Linked DNA regions of Sus scrofa. The protein of the gene in region 2 interacts with the protein of the main gene of each other region in a pairwise test. Links are inferred from orthologs where the notes say so. Each region holds a gene or a part of one and is shown on either strand. Other genes may lie near its edges.

Region 1 (9,686 bases), on a different chromosome or scaffold from region 2:
TCCGTGTGTCCCCTTCTGCCCATCAGGTTTGGCTGCCAGGCTGTGTGTGTGGCCGCCCTGGGGCTGGCCGCAGCCCTGGGGGTCAGCACAGCCTTGGCCACCCGCTGGTTCTGTGGCTGCTTCGCAGGGGCCTCCCTTGCACTTCACGTGGCCTGAGAACACTGTGGGGTCCCTGGGGGGGCGCTGGGGCAAGCCCACTCAGGCAAGGCCTCTGACCCGCTGGAGGGTGACTCTCTGGCTTCCGTTATGGGCCCTGACCCGGCAGCCAGAGGGACACTGTTGGCTGGGTGAGCTCTGCCGTCGCGGGCAGCCGCGGGCGTGGACCTCGAGCTGGCCTCAGACAACGGTCCCCAGAGCCCTCTCGAGAGGCCTGGACCTCAGGCTGCCTGTGTCTGCTCAGGCCTGGAGCTGCGGGGCCCCCACACCGCCTCGGCAACAGGACTCCTGCTGCTCCTCCGGGTCCCAGTGGCGGGACCAGGCTTCACATCTTCGGTGGAGGTCACCGGGGTTGCTTCCCCTTGACCTCCGTGCAGCTCTAAGTACACGGCACGGAGACGCGGGAGGTCGTGTGCGTCCCCACTGGGTCCAGGGACAGGGCTTGGCCTCTGCCTGCCCTCTGGCACCTTCACCCAACCCTGCAGGTTTCCAGCCCTGCTTCCCGAATCTCCCTGCTGGCTGATCGCCACAGGGCAGCCAGCCAGAACCAAGATCTCATGGCCCTTTGCAGAAGCCGGCGGCGTGGACCCCGAGGACAGCTCGGAGGAGGTGTACCCTGGCCTTGGGTAATGCAGCAGCAGGGAGAAGGGGCGCCGGTGCTGGTGAAGTGAGGACAGGTGACATCCATCACTCGTGCCCCTTTGTATCCCTGGGGCCACAGAGCTGGACGTGCAGTGTGCGGGGTGCCCCCAGCCCTGGCACCCATGTCCTGGCACCCTGGCACACCCGCATCGCCTGGAGAAACGGACTCATCCTGGGCTTCGGTTTGTGAGGAAGGGAGGGTGTGGGAAGGCTGGAGTGAGGTCTCCGCCTTCTCCTTGGGCCAAGAGTCCCTGGCTGGGTGGCCTGGAGCTTGGCCAGCCCTCCCAGGCTGAGGGGCAGGGGCATCAGTCAACTTCCTGCGCAGCCTGGCCCCGTGTGAGCCCGCCTTCTCTTGGCCCTGCTTCCTGGCGGCCAGCCTGGAGGCAGCGGCAAATCTCTGGGGGTGCTGCCTGGTGCTGCTGCCTTGGTCCTAGGCTGGCATCCCTACTTCTCCTCATGGGGGCCAATGTGAGTGTGGGCCCTGCAGGCCAACAGAGCTGTTGCTTGGCCGGAGGTCTGCCCATTGGTTGGGGGTGCAGCTCTGGGGTCAGCCCTCAGAATGATTGGTGGGCAGGAGGCTGCTGTTCGTTCTACCCTGTCCGTCTACCCAGGGTGCACTGGGGAATCCGAGGCCCGAGGGACTAAGGTCAGAAGGATTCTACATGAAGGGGCTATTTTTTTTTTTTTTTTTTTTTTTTTTGCTTTTTTTTGTTGTTGTTGCACCCAAGGCATATGGAAGTTCCTGAATCGGAGCTGCAGCTGCTGGCCTACGCCTCAGGCCACCCACCCACGCCACGGACCTGGTGCCCTGTCTGCCGTGCAGAGGTCAGCTGACCCTTCCGGCCACACAGCCCAGTCCAGCGTGTCCACTTGGACCCCTGTGGTGTGCCCTCTGGATGGGGAGGAAGTGCCCTGAGCAAGGAGGGTACAGGTCCATCCGAAAGCCACGTCCCCGGCACCTTCACGGGGGCCCGTACAAATCGGCCAGCCGGGCGAAGCGGGGGCCCCAGTCCTGGAGGCAGCTGTAGTCCTGGTCCTCGTCGCCCAGGCTGGACAGGATGGAGCTCAGCGTCCCGGCCACAGAGCCGTCCCCCTCGTAGTCGTAGATGAGAGCCGTGTCGTAGGGGGGGACGCTGGGGTCACTGTCTGCAGCCTCCAAGCCCTGTGAACAGGCCTGGGGCTCAGGAGCAGTGCTGACCTGCCCGGCCGGTGGCCTCCGCCACTGTGGCAGTGGCTCCGGAGAGGCTCCCGGGAGACAGAGCCAGAAGGGGGAAAGGGGTGACCAGGGTTGGCACAGCAGCCCTGAGCCGGCCCTTGGGAGCACCTGCCACAGAACGCGGACTAGAGGCAAGGTCCCCTCTGGGTGGGTTTCCCTCTCGCGGACTCGAGCCCCTACCTCCAGCCCTCCATCCTGCGCCCCAAGCGCGCCCCAGGCGTGAGGGGGCATGTGAGCACGGGCCTGGTCCCGCCACCCGCTTGGCACCTACATCGAGGATGAAGTCAGCGATGTCAGTGGGGCTGGTGGGCAGCGCACGGGGAGCCTGGGGGCGCGCTCGGCCAAACGGGGCATCTCGGCGCATCAGCGGCCTTCCTAGGGGGGCGCTCAGGGCCGCCAGCTCTTCTGGGTGGCGCAGTTGGTCCATGTCATAGGCATCCTGTGGACAGAGCGCCAGGGAGCTCAGCCGCGGGTCTGGGTGCCCTCCTGGGGCGGCCGGCAGGGGCCCCACAGAGACCCCCCCCACTCAGCACTTCAAGCCCCGTCCCCTCACCTGGTCCTCCTCCCCGCCCCCCTGCTCATCGTAGTTGAGGATGTTGTCCCGGAGATCGTCCTGCAGCCCGTGCAGAAGCCCCTTGTCCCACGACTGCTGCCGGGACCGCGCCAGGAGGGCCACCAGCAGGGCGAGCACTAGGTGGGGGATGGGGCGGAGGTCGGGTGGGCATGGGGCAGGGGAGACGGAAGGGGCTGCGGGGGGCGTGGGTCCGAGCGCTGGGGTGCGCAGGCCGGCACTCACAGAGCAGCAGGATGACGCTGGCCAGCACGATGACCAGGGCCCCCAGGCTGATGCCGGCGCCGCCCGCCCGCAGCGCAGCGGCTCCTGGCAGGCAGGTGCCGTCCTGGCCACAGCGGCACACGGTCACGTTCAGGGGCTGCTCGCGCTGCTGCGGCGGCTGTCCTGAGTCCCGAAGCAGCAGGCTGAGGCGGTACAGACCCTCCTGGACCTGGTGCCGCAGCTGCAGGCGCGCATGGCTCACTGCAGAGGGCGCTCGCGGTCAGCAGGGGCGAGGCAGCAGCTCCGAGCTGCCCATCCACCTCCCGACCCCCTCTGTGCCTGTGCTTGGGGTGGGAGCCTGCTGCGTGGGGTTCCTGAGATGCTGGGGCTCTGCCTCCCCATCTGTCCATAGGGTGTGTCACCCATCCCTACCCGGCCCGCGGAGGCACCGCGGAGGGAGCCAGTGGGACCACGATGCGGAGTGACCCCGGCAGGCCCCAGGCTCTGGACCCGCAGGGGCGTGGGGAGAGCTCACCATTCACAGGGCTGAGGCTCCAGTTCCGGGCCAGCTCTGGAACCCTGGGGCTCAGCTGGAAGTGGAAGGGGGCCCCGTGGGGGGGGAGGTCCTCATCCGTGGCCCCCAGGAGAAGGCCGGAGCCCTGGTCTGGCGCGCTGCACAGGCTGCCCCAAGGCGGGGACAGCTCGGGGGCGTGGTCGTTGACCTCCAGGATCTCAATGGACAGGGTCCCAGTGGCCGTGCTGGGTGGTGAGGCTGCAGGCAGGACGGGCCTGGTGAGCCCTCGGCCCACGGGAACCCTCGCCTCCCCCCGCAGGCCTGCTCGGTGGAGCCCCCAGCCCAGAGCCCTTGGGCAGCAGCGGGGGGCCCAGGCCGGGCTCCGCACTCACCATCGTCTTGGGCCAGGATGACGGCGCGATACCAGCCATCCTTGAGGAAGGGGGATGCGGGGCTGAGCACACGCTGCGTCTGGACCTGGCCAGTGGCCCCGTCCACGTGCAGCCAGTCTTCAGGGTCGTAGTCCTTGGAGTAGCTGTTGGGGGGCAGGGCAGTGGGTGGCCTTGGGCCCAAGTGCGACCCCAGGGGTGTGTCCCACGGAGACACACAGACACCTCTGAAGCTGGTTCTAGAGCCCTACGCGGCCCAAACAGCAGACGAAGAAACTGAGGGTCGGGAGGGCAGGCAAGCTGCTCAGGGCCCCCGGCCCCTGAGTGACAACAGGGTTCAACCGTGGCACCACGGGGACAGACCCAGATCCACGGGGCCAGGGCAGGGGGTGAAGTCCAAGGTGTTAACACCCAGTCCCACGGGAACAGCGGCTTCCCAGCGCGGCTGGGGAACGATGGAGGCCAAGTCAGCTGCGCCGGGGAGAGCCCAGCCCTGCCCCGCCAGCAAGGCCGCATGAACACAAGCACATGCGTGGACGCTTGGTGACACACACGGATGAGCCCCCACCCTCCAACCACAGCGCAGACCTGCGGGAACCCGGGGCACAGGCCTCACACTCTGAGCTGTGCTGCCCTGGCTGGGGGTCCCCTCTGCTCAGCCGAGGCCCCCACCTGAGCCTCTGCGGCCGACGTGTGTCAGGGTCTCGGGCAGAGAAGGTGGCCACGGGGGTTCCTGGGGCTGCCCCCTCAGCCAGGCTGGCCCTTAGCGGGTTCTCCCGGAACACGGGGGGCTCGTTGACATCCCGCACCTGCACGCTGACCCTGGCCTGGCCCCGTTCAGCCCTGGGGGCGGCTGCCTGCAGGGGGGCCTCATTCTGCACCGCCACTTTGAGGGTGTACCGCTCGCAGCTCTCATAGTCCAGGGGCTGCAGGAAAGCAGAGGGGCGGCCCATCACGCCTCGGGGCCCTGCGCAGCGGGGGCGCCCCAGGCAGCTTGGGCTGGAGAGCCCTGCACACTGGCACTGCCGCCCTCCTCTGACCTCAGAGCCCCAACTTCCTTCTTTTCAGCCTTGGGAAAATAAAAATAATGCAAGACAAAAAGCACGAAGAAGACTGTAAAAACGACAAATACTCTTCACTCGAAATGAGTCTGTGGGGAGCTGTGTGGTCAGTTTTCTGTCACTTGGCTGGACTGTCCCCCTCAGTGACTCAGGGGGGCAGACACTCATCGGGCCCCATGCTTAAGCTGGCCATACAGAAACTTTAAACCAAGCGGCTTATCCTGGATAAGCGGGTGGGGAAGGGTCTTGTCTGTGGCTGGAAGCCTTTGAGAGCAAACGTGCCATCTCCCTGCAGAAGAAGGAACCCGGCCTCCAGGTGCGGCCTCAGCTCCTAGGCTTTCAGCCGGCCAGCTGCCACTCAGTGGCCCCAGGAACCATCGAAATCTCTCTCTGCACAAACATATGTGAGCTGCAGTGTGCACGCATACGTGTGCATGCATGCGTGTGTATAGCTGTGTGTGTAGCCGTGCGTGCGCATGTGTGTGTGCATGTGTGGCTGTGTGCGCATGCATGTGCACGTGTGTGCACGCGTGTGTGTAGCTGTGTGTGCACAGGCATGCAGAAATGTATCTCTTGCTGGTTCTCTCTCTGGTTTCAGGTCAGTCGACACGTGAGGTCTGCACGTGCTCACCGGGAACATGCGTCGAACGCCGGAAATAACCCCGAGCGGGTGGTGCTGCCCCGCCTCTCAGCCCTGTCGTCCTGTGTTGCGTGACCCAAGCCTGCAGTCCCCGCGCGCCAGGCCCTCTGGCTGCTCCTTCCTGAGGGGCCACGGACGCTTCCATCAGGTGGCCGGTGTGAGAGACGCCCGCCAGCTCACCTTCACCACGGACAGCACGCCCTCGTTGGTCCTGGGGTCCGTGCGGATGGCGAAGTGCCCCTGAGGGTCACCCTCCAAGATGGTGAACCTGGCCGCCCAGTTGGGGGAGCCGGGCAGGTCCCGGTCCTCCACCTCAAGCCGCCCCACGTCCACGCCGCTGACGGCCTCGGCGGCCTCCAGGAAGAACTGCAGAAACTCGGCCCCGTTACCCACAGGCCGGTCTCTCCCACCCACTGCCCACCCAAGCGCAGTCCTCTGGCCCAGGGGCCCGGGAACCACCGCCCCCCTCAGCTGCTGGCCAGGCAGGCACTGCCCTCTCCAAGGCAGGGCCACGGCCCCCACCACCAAGCTCCCGACGCTTGACGTGCTCACAAGCCACCTGTGCTGATCGGGGCCTTGAACCAACCATGCGGGGTGTCTCCTCCGGGCTCCCAGCCCCCCACCCCTCACCAGGAGCCCCGACCAGGGCAGCCCCAAGCAGCGGCAGCGGGGCAAGGGCGGAGCCACCACCTCTTCCCCAGTGAACTCGGGGGCGTTGTCATTGACATCCTGGAGCGTGATGACAGCTGAGGCGGTGGCCGTGAGCCCGTCTCCAGACATGTCTGCCACCTGCAGGGTCAGGTTGTACACGGCGACCACCTGGGGACAGGTGACGCAGCATCAGGAGACTGGATGGAGCATGTGGCCAGGGCTGCGTGGCCACCTTAGGGCTTGGGGGCAGGGTAGGCACACCCCCTGCAGCTCAGCCCCCTGCCAGGCGCTCGTGGCTCTGAGACCCCAGGTGGCTCGAGTACCTGCCCTGCTCTGCAGTCCTGGGGCACAAGGTGCTGCCTGGCTTCTCAGTCCCACCACAGGACTGTCGACTCCAGGCTCTGCCCCAGCCTGTGAGCAGGCAGAAGAGCAGTGACCGAGTCAGATAAGCATTTACAGAGCGCCTGCTGCATGCAAGGTGCTAGTCCCTGCCCTGGGGAGCCGGGAGCAGTGGCAGAGAAAGGGGGCAAAGATCACCTCGCATGGTAAGTAGCCAGACAGAGCACCTGGGTGGCTGTGGGGAACCAAGGAGGGCTTCCTGGAGGTGCAGATGCCACACGGAAAGGAGCCTGGCAGCGAGGGGCCACACGGACGGCCCTACCCCGGGCCAGGGAGCCTGAATTCTTCACAGGCAACAGGCGGGACTTTGGGCTGAAAAGGGGCTGAGGGCCCGTAAACCGGCTTCGGATCTACCCACCCGCCCACCCACAGGGCAGGGTGGCTCAGGCTGGGTCTGCCCGGCCCAGGCCCGAGGGGAATGTCGGCCGCGGTGAGCAGCCCTCACCTCGCGGTCCAGGCCCACTTGCACCGTGCGGATGTCCCCTGAGAGCGCATCGATGCTGAAGAGCTGGGGGCCCCCCTGCTCCAGGATCGAGTACCGGAGGGCCGCGTTGTCCGTCTCCGGGTCGTCCGCGTCTGTGGCCTCCGCCCTGGTCACCAAGGTACCTGGGAAGGGCGGGGACGTGTGGCGGTGACACCCACGGGCACCAGCCCCTAACTCCAGCACACCCTGCCTGCTCTGCTGCAGCCCACGGGCCCAGTCCAGGCTGTGTTCAGCCCATGCCCAACGTCCAAGCTGCTGACTCGTGCTGCTTGGGTTGGGGGAGGTGGGTGTCCGACGTGCACAGCTGACACCTGTTTTCCACGGGACACCTGGGCCTGGCCCCGAACCCCAGCCCCAGGAGGAAGAGAGTGCAGGCAAGCTGGGCAGCTCCAGGGCAAACAGGACAGCAAGCCTCAGGAGAGGGGTCACTGCAGCGGAGGCCCACCAGTCCCGGTGCCCTGCGTTCCTTCTGATCCCTGGGGCACTGCACGCTCCCCTGCCTGGGAGCAGCCCAGGCAGCCAGGCCTGTCGCTGGCGGGTGACTAAGGAACAGCATCAAAGCAGCCGCTGGCCAAGCCACGGAAGGTGGGGAGCCACCAAGCAGGTACGTCCTGGTGCAACTCTGGACCCCAGAGTAGAGCCAGAAACAGCGCTCCAAGCAGCCCCCTTCCTGGAGCGCAGGTGAGCCGCTCCGAGGGGCCCCAAGCCCCGACGCCCGGCAGGTGAGCACACACGGGGGACCGGGGCCCAGCTTCTCACCATCAGAGAAGGGACCCCACAAGGGACCTCGCAGACCCGGGATGCCAGTGGGTGCTGGCAAGGACTTGTGACTCAGAAGGAAGGTGGAGGAGCGTGCAAACATGGCTGAGCGCACACATACACGCCAGACACACACGCACACGCAGACACATGCACAGCTGCACCTTTGTGAACTTACTGCCCAGCTCTGCCTGCTGAAAGGGCCTGGGCCAGTGGATGAGTTTCTCACTGAGCCAACGCGAGCATCAAATCATGGCTGCAGGAGTTCCCGTCATGGCTTAGCAGTTAACAGACCCGACTAGTATCTATGAGGATGCAGGTTCAATCCTTGGCCTCGATCAGTGGGTTAAGGATCCGGCACAGCCGTGAGCTGTGGTGTAGGTTGCAGATGCAGCTCGGATCTCGCGTTGCTGTGGCTCTGGTGTAGGCCGGTGGCTACAGCTCCGACAGGACCCCTAGACTGGGAACCTCCATATGCCGAGGGTGCGGCCTTTAAGAGCAAAAAAAAAAAAAAAAAATCACGGCTGCGAAGAATGATCAAGCAATGGGGTGCCCGCAGTGGCCCAATGGGATCCGCGGCATCTTGGGAGCGCTAGGACACAGGTTCGTTCCCCCGCCCGGCAAGGTGCATTAAGGATCCAGCACGGCTGCAGCTGCGGATTAGGTCAGATCTGACCCCCAGAGAGAGAACCTATACGCCACGGGGAGGCCAAAAAAATAACGATCATAAAATAGAAAGAATTCTTACCCATTGAATTAAGAGGACATGAAGCGTCCAGACTAACATATGTGAATACACATATACCCAAAGCACACGCACACACACCTATGTACACACACACATGCACACACTGAAGACACACAGACATATACAGTACGTACAAGCACTTGAGTTCTATCGTGTAACGGAGACGAAGGACAGGATGAAACAAGAATGGGGACAGTGGAGATTCAGGCAGGAGCCCGGGGGCGGGCGGTCTGAGGGCAGCAGGGCCTGCAGAGAACCTTCCACCAGAGGCCTATTCATCACAAAGGGAACAGCAGGAGTTCCCGCCGTGGCGCAGTGGTTAACGAATCTGACTAGGAACCATGAGGTTGCGGGTTCGGTCCCTGCCCTTGCTCAGCGGGTTAAGGATCCGACGTTGCCGTGAGCTGTGGTGTAGGTTGCAGATGCGGCTCGGGTCCCGAGTTGCTGTGGCTCTGGCGTAGGCTGGCAGCTACAGCTCTGATTCGACCCCTAGCCTGGGAACCTCCATATGCTGCAGGAGCGGCCCAAGGAAAAAAAAAAAAAAAAAAACAAAGGGAACAGCAGGAAGCCCCGGAACCAGGGTCTCAGGGGGCCTCCAGGCACACAGACCCACACCTGGAGACAATCGCAACCAAGGGGAGGTGGCAGAATGAACAGTGAGTGAGAAGCAGAAAACGCTGCTGAGAGGAATGCAAGGAAACGCAGACGGCTGCAAACACAAGCCACAGTCACGGTTTGGAAGAGGGCAAATTGCTAAGATGACAGGACTACCCAACGCAACCTGCAGCTTCAGTCCTGCCCCCCTCGAGTCCCAAAAACACCTCCTTTGCCTATAAAGTCAAAGCATTTACTCAGGCAAGCGAGGTGCTGCCTCAGGGCCCATGACAGACAAAGCGTTGTGGGGCTTTTGCCATGAAAACATGGAATCAAGAATCAACGAGGAGTTCCCGCTGTGGCTCGGCAAGTTAAGAACTTGACTAGTCTCTGTGCTCCTGAAGGATGCAGGTTCGATCCCTCGCCTCGCTCGGTGGGTTAAGGATCTGGTGTTGCCGTGAGCTGTGGTGTAGGTCGCAGACCTGGCTTGCATTTACTGTTGCTGTGGTTGAGGTGCAGGCCAGCAGCTCCAATTCGACCCTTAGCCTGGGAACTTCCATATGCAGCAGCTGCTCACGTTGCTGTGGAGGCACGGGTTTGATCCCCGGCCTGGCCAGTGGGTTAAGGATCCCGCGTCGCCACAGCTGTCGTGATTCAG
Region 2 (9,981 bases):
ACCCTGGTTGACCATTGCCACCCTAGGTGAGTTTTTTGGGGAGGGTGGGATGCAGGTGTCAGTGATAAAAGCCCTCAGATGATTTCAAGGGCAGCCCAGATGGGGACCACTTAATCTGCACCTCTGAGCAAGAAGCCCCCAGCCAATCCTTGATCATCACAGATAAAGAGGAAACAGGCTTCACTGGCACCATGAAGCGTTAAGATTTTGCATGTTCTAGAAGGTTTGTAAAGCCTTAGAAGGATGCTGGAATTTTTCTCTCTCCTTTCTTAATTTTTATTTAATTTTTTACTTTTTAGGGCTGCACGCGTGGCATGTGGAAGTTCCCAGACTAGGGGTGGAATCTACACCACAGCTCTAGCTCACAGCAATGCCAGATCCTTGACCCACCAAGTGAGGCCAGGGATCCAACCCCATCCTCATGGATACTAGTCAGATTAGTTTTTGCTGCACCACAACAGGAACTCCTTTCTGAATTCTTGAACAGACTGATCTAAACTGGGCTTGCATGGAAGTGACGGCAAGGGAGTCACTAAAGACCCAAGATGCCACGACTCCTGCCAGACTCAGGCCCTGAGGACTCAGGACTGCTCTTCAGAACTTTGGACAGGACAGAGGCTTAGAGGCAGGCTATCAGGTTCTGGTTGGCTGGGAGACTTGGCTGAGCTCAAGTCTATGGCAAACGGGCTCTAAGACAGCCCAGTAACTCCCACTTCCCAGTGGCTGTGGTTGTCCTTTGAGGACAGGACCTGCAACTCACTTCGAACCAACAAGATAGGTGATGACTATCCTCAGGATTACATCATGTTACAGAAGGTTACGTCCTGCTCACTGATTGCCCCCTGCAGCTTTAATGATGAAAGTGGCCATGTGGGGAGTTTCGGAAGGCTATTATTATTTTGGGGGCCGCACCTGTTGCATATGAACAAGGTCAGGGATTGAACCCACGTCCTCATGGATACTAGTCAGGTTTGTTAACTACTGAGCCATGACGGGAGCTCCCAAGGCTATCTATTATTGATCCCAGTGATAGCCATGTCATAGTTGCTGGAACCTGTGATACCATACATAGCAAAAGGGTTTTTGCAGGTGGGATTAAATTAAGGACTCTGAGATGAGATGGGGGTGATCTCTCATCACCCAGGGCGGGTCCAGTATCACCACAAGGACTGTTATAAAAAGGAGGCAGAGGGAGTTCCCTGGTAGCTCAGTGGGCTAAGGACCTGGCATTGTCACTGCTGAGGCTTTGGTTGCTGCTGTGGACTGGGAACTTCCAAACGGCACTGATGTGGCCAAAGGGGGAAAAAAGAGATGCAGAGGGGGATTGGACACAGACAGGAGAGGTCATGTGAAGACAGAGGTAGAGACTGGACAGACGTGGCCAGAAGCCAAGGACACCACAGCCCCTGGAGGATGCAAGGGGTGGATCCTCCCCTGGGATGCCTGGATGGAGCGCTGGCTTTTGAACTGGAGAAACTGGTTTTGTGCATCTGGTTCCCAGAACCATGAGAGAGTAAAAGTGTGTTGGTTTAAGCCACCAAGTCTATAGTAATTTGCTCTGGCAGCCCCAGGAGATGAATAGAGGAGGCCCCATTGGGAGGCAGGGGGACACACAGAGCTGAGGGCCACTTCTGGGAGCGGAGGGAGTCAGGCCTCAATCTACAAGGTAAGGACTGAACTTTGTCCACAACCTGTGAGCAGATACCACAGACCAGGCTGGGACCCAGGCAGAGACCCCAGCTGAACCTGATTTCTGACTCAGAGAAACTGGGAAGTAACCAAAGTATTGGGTTTTTTTGGGCCATGCCTTTGGGATTTGGAATTTCTGGGGCCAGGGATTGAACACATACCACAGCAGTGACAACACCAGATCCTTAACCCACTGAGCCAGCTGGGAACTCCTGCATTTTTATAAAGGAATCATTTCCTTGGGCAGGTGGCTGAAGCTATGTAAAATGCCGGTTTACTGCATCAACTCAGTGGTTCTCAAGACTGAGTGAGCCACCAAGATTAAGTGTGCAGAAATCAATGAGATTCTGTGCAAACACAGATCAGAAACTCAGAGCTGGCCGGGCCACCTTCCTCACCTGCTCCACTGGTGCCCACAACACTCGGCCTGTGCTGGGGAGTTGGGGTAGTGGTGTAGGGGAGCGGTGAGGACAGCAGAGAGCTTCCATGTCCACCAGTGGCACCAGGAATGGGCCCTTCCTCCTCTTTGAAATTTAAGTCTCTGCTGGCCACCATCCAAGAGACAAGGAAAACACCATGGGAGTTCCCATTTGGCAGAGTGGAAACGAAACTTACTAATAACCATGAGGTAGCGGGTTCAATCCCTGGCCTTGCTCAGTGGGTTAAGGATCCAGTGTTGCCATGAGCTATGGTGTAGGTCGCAGATGTGGCTTAGATCCTTCGTTGCTGTGGCTGTGCCAGCAGCTATAGCTCTGATTCAACCCCTAGCCTGGGAACTTCCATGTGTCACAGGTACAACCCTAAAAACCTAAAACAAAACAAAAACAAACAAACAAAAAAAGGAAAACATTGAGGTCATCTCTGCAGGACGTGGAAGCTCAAGGTCACTGGAGGATGGAAGGCTAACTCCTTGGAGCTGAAGGTGGTAGGTGTCGCAGGCTCCTGTTCCAAGGGCTGAAAGTGTCCCCACAGCCCAACGGCCAGCTTGCAGCCAAGTGCAGGTCCTGATGGGCCCCTCTGCCCATGTCATATGTGTGGCCTCCAGAAACTGGAAAAGGCAGGAACTGATTCTTCCCTGGAGCCTCCAGAAGGTGCCAGTCCCATCCATGCCCAGGTTTAGCCCTGGTCCCACTCCTGGCCTCCAGGACTGAGATGATGTGCGTGGTTAAAAGCCACTGAGGGAGTTCCCATTGTGGCTCAGTGGTAATGAACCCAACTAGTATCCATGAGGATGCAGGTTCGATCCCTGGCCTTGCTCAGTGGACTTAAGGATGCGGCATTGCAGTGAGCTGTTGTGTAGGTCACAGACGAGGCTCGGATCCCACGTTGCTATAGCTGTGGCATAGGCCAGCAGCTGCAGCTCTGTTTAGACCACTAGCCTGGGAACTTCCATACAGCGAAGGAGCGGCCCCAAAAAGCAAAAAAAAAAAAAAAAAAAAAAAAAAAAAGCCACTGAATTTGTGGGAACATCTCAGGGGCTGTAGGAAATATATACATGACCTGGTTCAATGGTTTCAAGGTGACTCATGCGGGGTCCACCCAGGCTGGGGATTCCTGGAAGCTCGGGTCAGGGAGGGTGGGAGTGGTGCTGAAAGAGCAACACAGAGCAGAGGTCACGATGTCTATTTATTCCCCACACATTATGCTTGTCACCATGGCTAGCACTCTAGAATCAGGACATATCTCTCCGGACGCGTGCAGAGCGCAGGTGGCTGTCTCCCTAGAGTTACCTACGACACATGGCGATGGGTCTACCTCACAGACGCCCCCCCACCACCAGGAGCCTCAGGTGATCCCACTGCCAATATGGGCATGGGTGCAGTGACGCTAGCGACATCTCCTCCCCACCCTGCCCCTGCCCAGGCCAGGGCTCAGGGGACATCCACAGTGGCTGACCCACCCCTGCTCCAGAAGCTGCTTCCATGGCTGCCTGGAAATCTCCCAGGGCAGGTGGCACCAGGGCCCTGCAGCTGCCACCCCGAACAGAATGAGAGCCTGCTGAGGATGCCATGCGTTGGGTCAGTGGGACCACCTGGAGGCAAGAGGGCAGTGTCTGGGACACAGGGATAGGCTGGGATGGGGCCATGAGGGTGCCCCTTGCAGTCTGTCGGTCTCGAGCACTGGGAAAAGAGGATGTAGATCAGACACGCATCCATCAAAACACGCAACAGGAAAAAAAACCGTCCTGTGCACCCAGGACATTCCCCTGGCCCTGCTGGGCGCTGGACGACGGAACCGTTGTCTAGGAACCTGCAACTGAGTTCCTCATGCACGAACCCGGGTCCTAGGGCCGGGTGTGGCTGGCAGTGAGCTTGTCAGAGCTGGGGTGGCCAAAGTCGACTCAGGAAGGGCTGGGAGGCCCGAGGCCAGACCAAGGGGTCGGGGCTGCAGGAAGGGCAGCAGGGCCACGGCATCCCCACAGGCTGCTTCTCCGACAGCAGTGAGAAGACTACCCCACCCTGGGAATATTTTAGAAAACACTTTAGTCACTAGGTTTGGGGGGGTGTTGGAGGGAGATGGATGCTGGTCTGCACTCACAGCTTGCTGGCTCTGTTTCGAGAGAGGTCTGGGGGCCATGAGAGTACAAAAAGGGAGAGAAGGGTGAAGGCAAAAAAAAATAATAATAATAAAAATCTGTCTTAACATGCAGGTCCAATTTCTTTTTCTCTCGTGGGCAGTCCAATGGGAGAAGACGGCAGAACACAAGAAGGCTTCTGGTCGGCCACGCAGGACCCGATGGCACTGGGACAGCTGGAGGAAGAAGACAGGAGGGTGGCGGTCAGGAGATGGAGCCACGCGGTGCCTGTGGTGGAGAGGGCGGTGGGAGGACAGGCTTAAAGCAAATCCTCAGCCAGATGGGATTTGAAGGCACTCCAGGGATCCGGCTCCGACCAGTGATGAACACAAACTTGACCTCAGATGTGTGTATGTGGTTTTTAAATTTTTTGGCTACACCTGTGGCATGTGAAAGTTCCCAGGCCAGGGATCGAACCTGAGCCACAACAGTGACTGAGCCACTGCAATGACCATGTTGGATCCTTAACCTGCTGCACCACCAGGGAAATCCCCTCCCCGCCTTTTAAAGCGCACACGCACACGCACACACACGTCTGGAAGGAAAAGTATCCAGAATCTTAACATTTGTTGCTGTGGATGGAAAGGTTTGGGTTGTTCTCCACTGGTATTTTAACATTTTTGTCCTTTAGAATTTTCTATAAAAAGTCATGGTTAAAGAAAAGCATAAAGAGGGATGGTGACAAATAAGGGAAAGCAGGGAACGCACCCCCTGGGCAGGAGAGCCACCTGTGCCTGTGTCCATGGAGACGGGATGGGGATGGGGGGGCCCTGGACACTAACTAAGCTGGCCAAGGCTGTTGGGGACCCTCCTGGGACATCTGGGTGTATTTTTTTTTAAAGCAATTATTGTACATGTCACATCTGCTCACAGCAAGAAACAAAACAAACCAAAATCAGAAAACCTGGACATTAACATCCAGAGTGAGAGGCATGTGCCAGCCTGTCTTCCACATCCAGTCACAGCTGCCCATGCTCTTGCGAGAGCACGGCAGACTCAGGAGGGGTCCACCTCTCATCCGCATGGCCCACCTGAACGGTAAGTGGAAGGGGATTTGGGTGGGAATGCTTGGCAAGGGCCTGGTGTCCTGAGATGCCCCCGCCTGGCCTTGATGGCTCAGGGAGCCCCCAGCCCCGGGGACTCACAGGCCATCACTCCTGCTGGTCATCGTTGCTGGCACTGGGGGTCCGACTGCGGATCTGACTTCGTAGCTGTTCTATCAACTCTGGGTTCTGCTGCTGCATCTGCTGAGCGAACTGCTGGCCCCTGCGGAGGTGAGCAAAGGCTTGGCCCATGCCCAGCTCCACCCCCACCCCAGGGTAGGGGACTGTTCCCTGGAGGACATGGGCCCCAAGAGCACCTGGGGACACTACTGTGCAGGCCCCTCCTCCCCTGGGAGCCACCCCACCCGGCAGATCCACTCACGCCTGGATGAGACTGGCCAGGTCGTTCTGCGAGGGACTGGTGCCCGGAGTCCCCAGGGGGTTGTGGCCACCCGAAATCATGCCAGACATGCTGCAGAGAGAGCCCTTGACTCGCAGACGGCCCAGCCCCCTCCCTCAGCCACCCCACTCAGCCTCTCCCCTCTGCAGGCAAGAGACCTTTTCTGTTGCTGCCAAACCAGCCCAGGGCCCACCCTTCTCTCTGACTGCAGCCTGTGTTTCATCGGCTTCCCCTGGAAGGTCCTTTCTTGGCTTAAAGGTAGTGATTCTCAACGGGGCAATTCTGTCCTCCAGGGACACTGGGGGATGCCGGTGACAGCAAAGACCACAGGATGCCCGAGTTCATTTACAAGAAACGTCCAGAAGAGGCACACTGGAGACAAGGGAGGGGGTGGAGTGACTGCTGATGGGGACAGGGCTTCTTTCTGGGGAGATGAAAACTCTGGAATCAGATGGTGGCGACAGCTACAGGACATTGGTATACTTGGCACCATGGAACCATAAACCTTAGAATGCCCACAACGGTACATTTTATGCATCTTTTACCAGTCATTTTAACCACAAGACCCAAAGAAGAACGGCTGTCACTTACAGCTGTTGAACCTGGGGATTATTCATTAGATTTGATGCCTGAAGAAAGAACAGACTTGTCAGCGTAAGCACTCTGGGCACCAGGCCCACCTCCTCCCTGTGCCCTGACCCTCCTCTGCTGCCCAACTTTGACCGTGGCTGGACACATATTAAGAGATTCCAGGAAGTTCCCACTGTGGTGCAACAGTACTGGCAGTGTCTCTGGAGCTCTGGGACAGGTTTGATCCCCAGCCCGGGGCTGTGGAACTCCATGATGTCCCAGAGTGACCAAAAAAAAATTTTATTAAAAAGCTTAAAAAAAAAAAAAAAAAGCGCTCCCAGGCATCACACTATCTTCCCCGACCAAGGCTGCCTTGGGAGTCACCTGCTCTGTGGATGACAACGTCCTGGATGCTGTCCTGCAATCTTGGCCCCATGGGATTATCTCCTTAGGCCAATTTCAAGATTTGGATGAGCAGGGAGCTGAGGAGGCGGCTTCCGGGCCAGAGAGCGCTACCAGCCGGTCTTGGCTTGTCCACTGGGCCTGCCATCCGGGCATTACCACACAAAGCCACGGGGGACTATGACCCCTGATCCAGATGCATGAGGCCAAAGGAGTGGCTACTGTCAGGCAGAGCCCCCGCCGGGCCTCCCTGGGTGGCCCTGTGCCCACCTCATCCCTGGGCAAGGGCAGTGGCCAGGCTCTAAGACATGGGAGGCCAGATGCCTCTCGCTGAGGAGGGGGCTTCTCTGACGACCAGGGTTCCAAGCTCCTCTCCCTGACAGCTGAGACCCCACACCCCCGCAGTGTGGCCCGAGGACCAGCAGGACCACCTAGGGGTGGATAGGCACCTGCAGACACGCTGGGTGCCTGCTTCCAGAGGATGTCCCTGCACGGAACACTCGCCTGGGGACCTGAGTGTCTGGCCCTGGAGGTGGCCCTTCCTCCGCCGGGCCCAGCGCCCCACAGTGTCTTGTCTGAGCTTCAGGGAGAAGGCGCGGCCACTCTGCTGTCACTGTGTCCACACCCTGAGGGGCCCAGGCTGTGTTATTTGGCCTAGAGAGGCAGGTTTGGTTTGTCCTCTGTGCTCAACACTGAGGGTCTTAAGGGGCGATGTGGACCCTGCCCCCACCCAGGACATGGCACTCGTGGGACATGTGCAGCTGTCATCTTACCATGCTCATAAAGCTCGGGTTGTTCAGCAGGCCTGCGATGTCAAAGCTGCCAACACCTCCCGTCTATAGGGGGAGAAAAGCCTGCTTAGTGTGTGTGGACACAGGACCCTGATGCCTGGCCCCGGAACTGAGAAGCAGGGTCCCACGTGGGCCCTGTTTGGAATCCTGGGCGTCCTAGCAGCCTTGGCAGCCCAGTCCTGCGGCCAGACAGCACTTTGCAAAAGGCATGCACCACAGTGTGGGTTACTCAGGAAAGGCATGGCATGTTAGCTGTCTTTCCCGTCCTGACGCTGACCTGGACAGACGGCCCTTCCCAGGGGTGACCAATCCCTAGGGAGAGTTATGACTCGCCCAAGGGTGCTCCTTTCCCACACAAACTAGCCAGTGCACAGTGGCACCCCAGGCCCTCCTCCTCCCATACTCAGGGCCCTGTCCCTGCCCTCATCACCCCAGGTAGCCCCTGCCCCAGAGCCCAGGGATCATTCAAACTAGCGAATCCTGATCTCACTCGCCCGCCTGCCTGCTCCTTCTGAGGGATCCATACCACAGGCTCTGTCCCCCAGGAGCCCGAAGGCTTCCCTGGGCAGGCCCCTTCCTCTTCCTGGGGGTCTGTGAAGATAAGCTTCTTTCCGTACAAAAAGACTCCATTAAACACATGCTGCCCCCCACCCCTCCCTTCTTCTCACACAGGGCATGCCCAGCCCTCAACCCCATGCCTCAGGAGTGTCTGCCCCACCACCCTGTCCCCATGGCTCGTCCCTAGGGGACTCACAGGGCTGGGCGCCTCTCTCAGCCTCAGCTCTGCGACCTTGAGGTTGGACTTGTAGGTCTCATTGTCGGGGTCCAGCTCCAAGGCCTTCCTATAGTAGGCCACGGCCTCTGTGTGCTTGTTCAGGCTGGACAGTGCCAGGCTGCAGGAGAGACAGCAGGTGTGTGTGGGGGGGGCCTGGGAGGCTGCCCGGGTCATGAGGGGAGTCAGGCTCGGGGAGGGTAGCACAAGACCCGGAAGGCGGCAGAACAGGGGTGGTCAGAACCCCCTGCTCCAGGCAGAGCGGCATCACAGAACTGTCCTCGGACCACACCTGAGTTTATTCTGCTAATGAGGAGCCTCAGGATGGGCATTTGTCCGGGAAGACCAAACAAACTCACCCCAGCCTTTGGGGAGGAAGGTGCTAGAGACAGGTGATTAAACCCTTGAACAGGAGTTCCTGTCATGGTGCAGTGGTTAACGAATCTGATTAGGAACCATGAGGTTGCAGTTCGATCCCTGGCCTTGTCCAGTGGGTTAAGGATCCGGCGTTGCGTTGCTGTGGCTCTGGCGTAGGCCAGTGGCTACGGCTCCGATTAGACCCCTAGCCTGGGAACCTCCATATGCTATGGGAGTGGCCCAAGAAATGGCAAAAAAGACAAAAAAAAAAAAAACCCTGAACAGCGAGACTGGAGACTGTCTCCACTGGTGACTGTCTTGAATGCAGGTCAAGGGTGCAGTGCAAACCCCAAGGGGATGGGAGCTCTGCCTTGGGACCCACCCTGACCTCGCCCTGTTTGCATACTTTACAACGAGCAGGTGAATGTACGTGAAATGGTTCTGAGTTCTGTGAATCCTGATGTATAGTTGGTGGAGAAGCTCAGATGATGGCCTGGACATGACTGGTGGGTGAGGTGGGAAGTCCTGTGGAGCGGAGTCCTTAACTTGAGGGGCCTGCATGGCCCCCAGGCAGGCAGTGGCTGCACTGTTGTAGAGGTCGGTGAGCTGGGGTGGGCAGGTGGTGTGGAAAAGATTCCACCGCACCAGGAGGAAGCCCTGCACGGGTGCAGGTGTGGACGCGGGTGAGGGGTACTTACCCCATCCTGCCGTAGGCCTTGCTATAGGACGGGTCTATGCAGATGGCTCGCTCACAGTCCTGTACGGCGCCTGCGTAGTTGCCCAGTTTGCTGTAGGCTGCAGCTCTAGGGGAGGAAAGAGGGCAGGCGGAGCTGACTCCTCATTGGCCGCCGAGGAGGCGGCACGGGGGCAGCATCAGCCTCCATGGCTGTCACAGGGGGTTTCCAGGAGTGTGAGGCCTGGTTAGATAAACACGGGTCGAACTCAGGCTTCTGTCGGCCAGGGGCCGCCGGGGTCATGCAGGAGGACCCAGCAGTCTGTCCCATTTACTGGGGAATCTGAGGCTGAGGGAGCAGAGGGACAGCCGGGACAGGGAGAGGAAGGGAGGAGCACCTGCCCATCCCCTGTGGCCAAGTGTCTCAGCGTCACTTCCCTTCTGGTTGGGTTTGTGGTATTTGCACTTTATGTCTCCTAGAGTTTCTCAGTACATAAAGATGTCAGGCAGGAAACACTAAGTGAGAAGCGGCCATGCGGGCGGGCAGAGGGTACAGGAGGCAATTCTCCATGCCACCTGTGCAGCTTCCCAGGAAATCTCAACCTGTTCCATGAGAGCAGTTCCAAGGCAGAACCTGAAGCTCAGGGAGGCTCTACCCTGGGCAGCTGGACCTGCCGCAGCTTCCGGCCTCTGCACACAGCTCTCACAC

What was found. The genes of interacting proteins can lie anywhere in the genome.
Region 1: the proteins of SGTA (region 2) and CDH15 interact in binary tests that used the Homo sapiens proteins (3 or more experiments, as listed by UniProt). The two-hybrid records come from large-scale screens. The link is inferred for Sus scrofa from reciprocal best matches to the Homo sapiens genes SGTA and CDH15.

What each region holds. Positions count from the first base shown.
Region 1 is NC_010448.4:634,878-644,563, forward strand, and holds the end of CDH15 (cadherin-15), read right to left. Parts: intron 7,050-9,686; coding exon 6,889-7,049; intron 6,213-6,888; coding exon 6,084-6,212; intron 5,760-6,083; coding exon 5,574-5,759; intron 4,619-5,573; coding exon 4,365-4,618; intron 3,839-4,364; coding exon 3,696-3,838; intron 3,562-3,695; coding exon 3,325-3,561; intron 3,051-3,324; coding exon 2,811-3,050; intron 2,705-2,810; coding exon 2,568-2,704; intron 2,454-2,567; coding exon 2,286-2,453; intron 1,961-2,285; coding exon 1,760-1,960; 3' UTR 1,473-1,759; downstream 1-1,472. UniProt on the Homo sapiens protein: Cadherins are calcium-dependent cell adhesion proteins. They preferentially interact with themselves in a homophilic manner in connecting cells; cadherins may thus contribute to the sorting of heterogeneous cell types.
Region 2 is NC_010444.4:75,889,595-75,899,575, reverse strand, and holds the end of SGTA (small glutamine-rich tetratricopeptide repeat-containing protein alpha), read right to left. Parts: intron 9,403-9,981; coding exon 9,298-9,402; intron 8,364-9,297; coding exon 8,225-8,363; intron 7,516-8,224; coding exon 7,453-7,515; intron 6,337-7,452; coding exon 6,299-6,336; intron 5,780-6,298; coding exon 5,690-5,779; intron 5,531-5,689; coding exon 5,416-5,530; 3' UTR 5,410-5,415; intron 4,493-5,409; exon of another isoform or gene 4,441-4,492; 3' UTR 3,298-4,440; downstream 1-3,297. UniProt on the Homo sapiens protein: Co-chaperone that binds misfolded and hydrophobic patches-containing client proteins in the cytosol. Mediates their targeting to the endoplasmic reticulum but also regulates their sorting to the proteasome when targeting fails.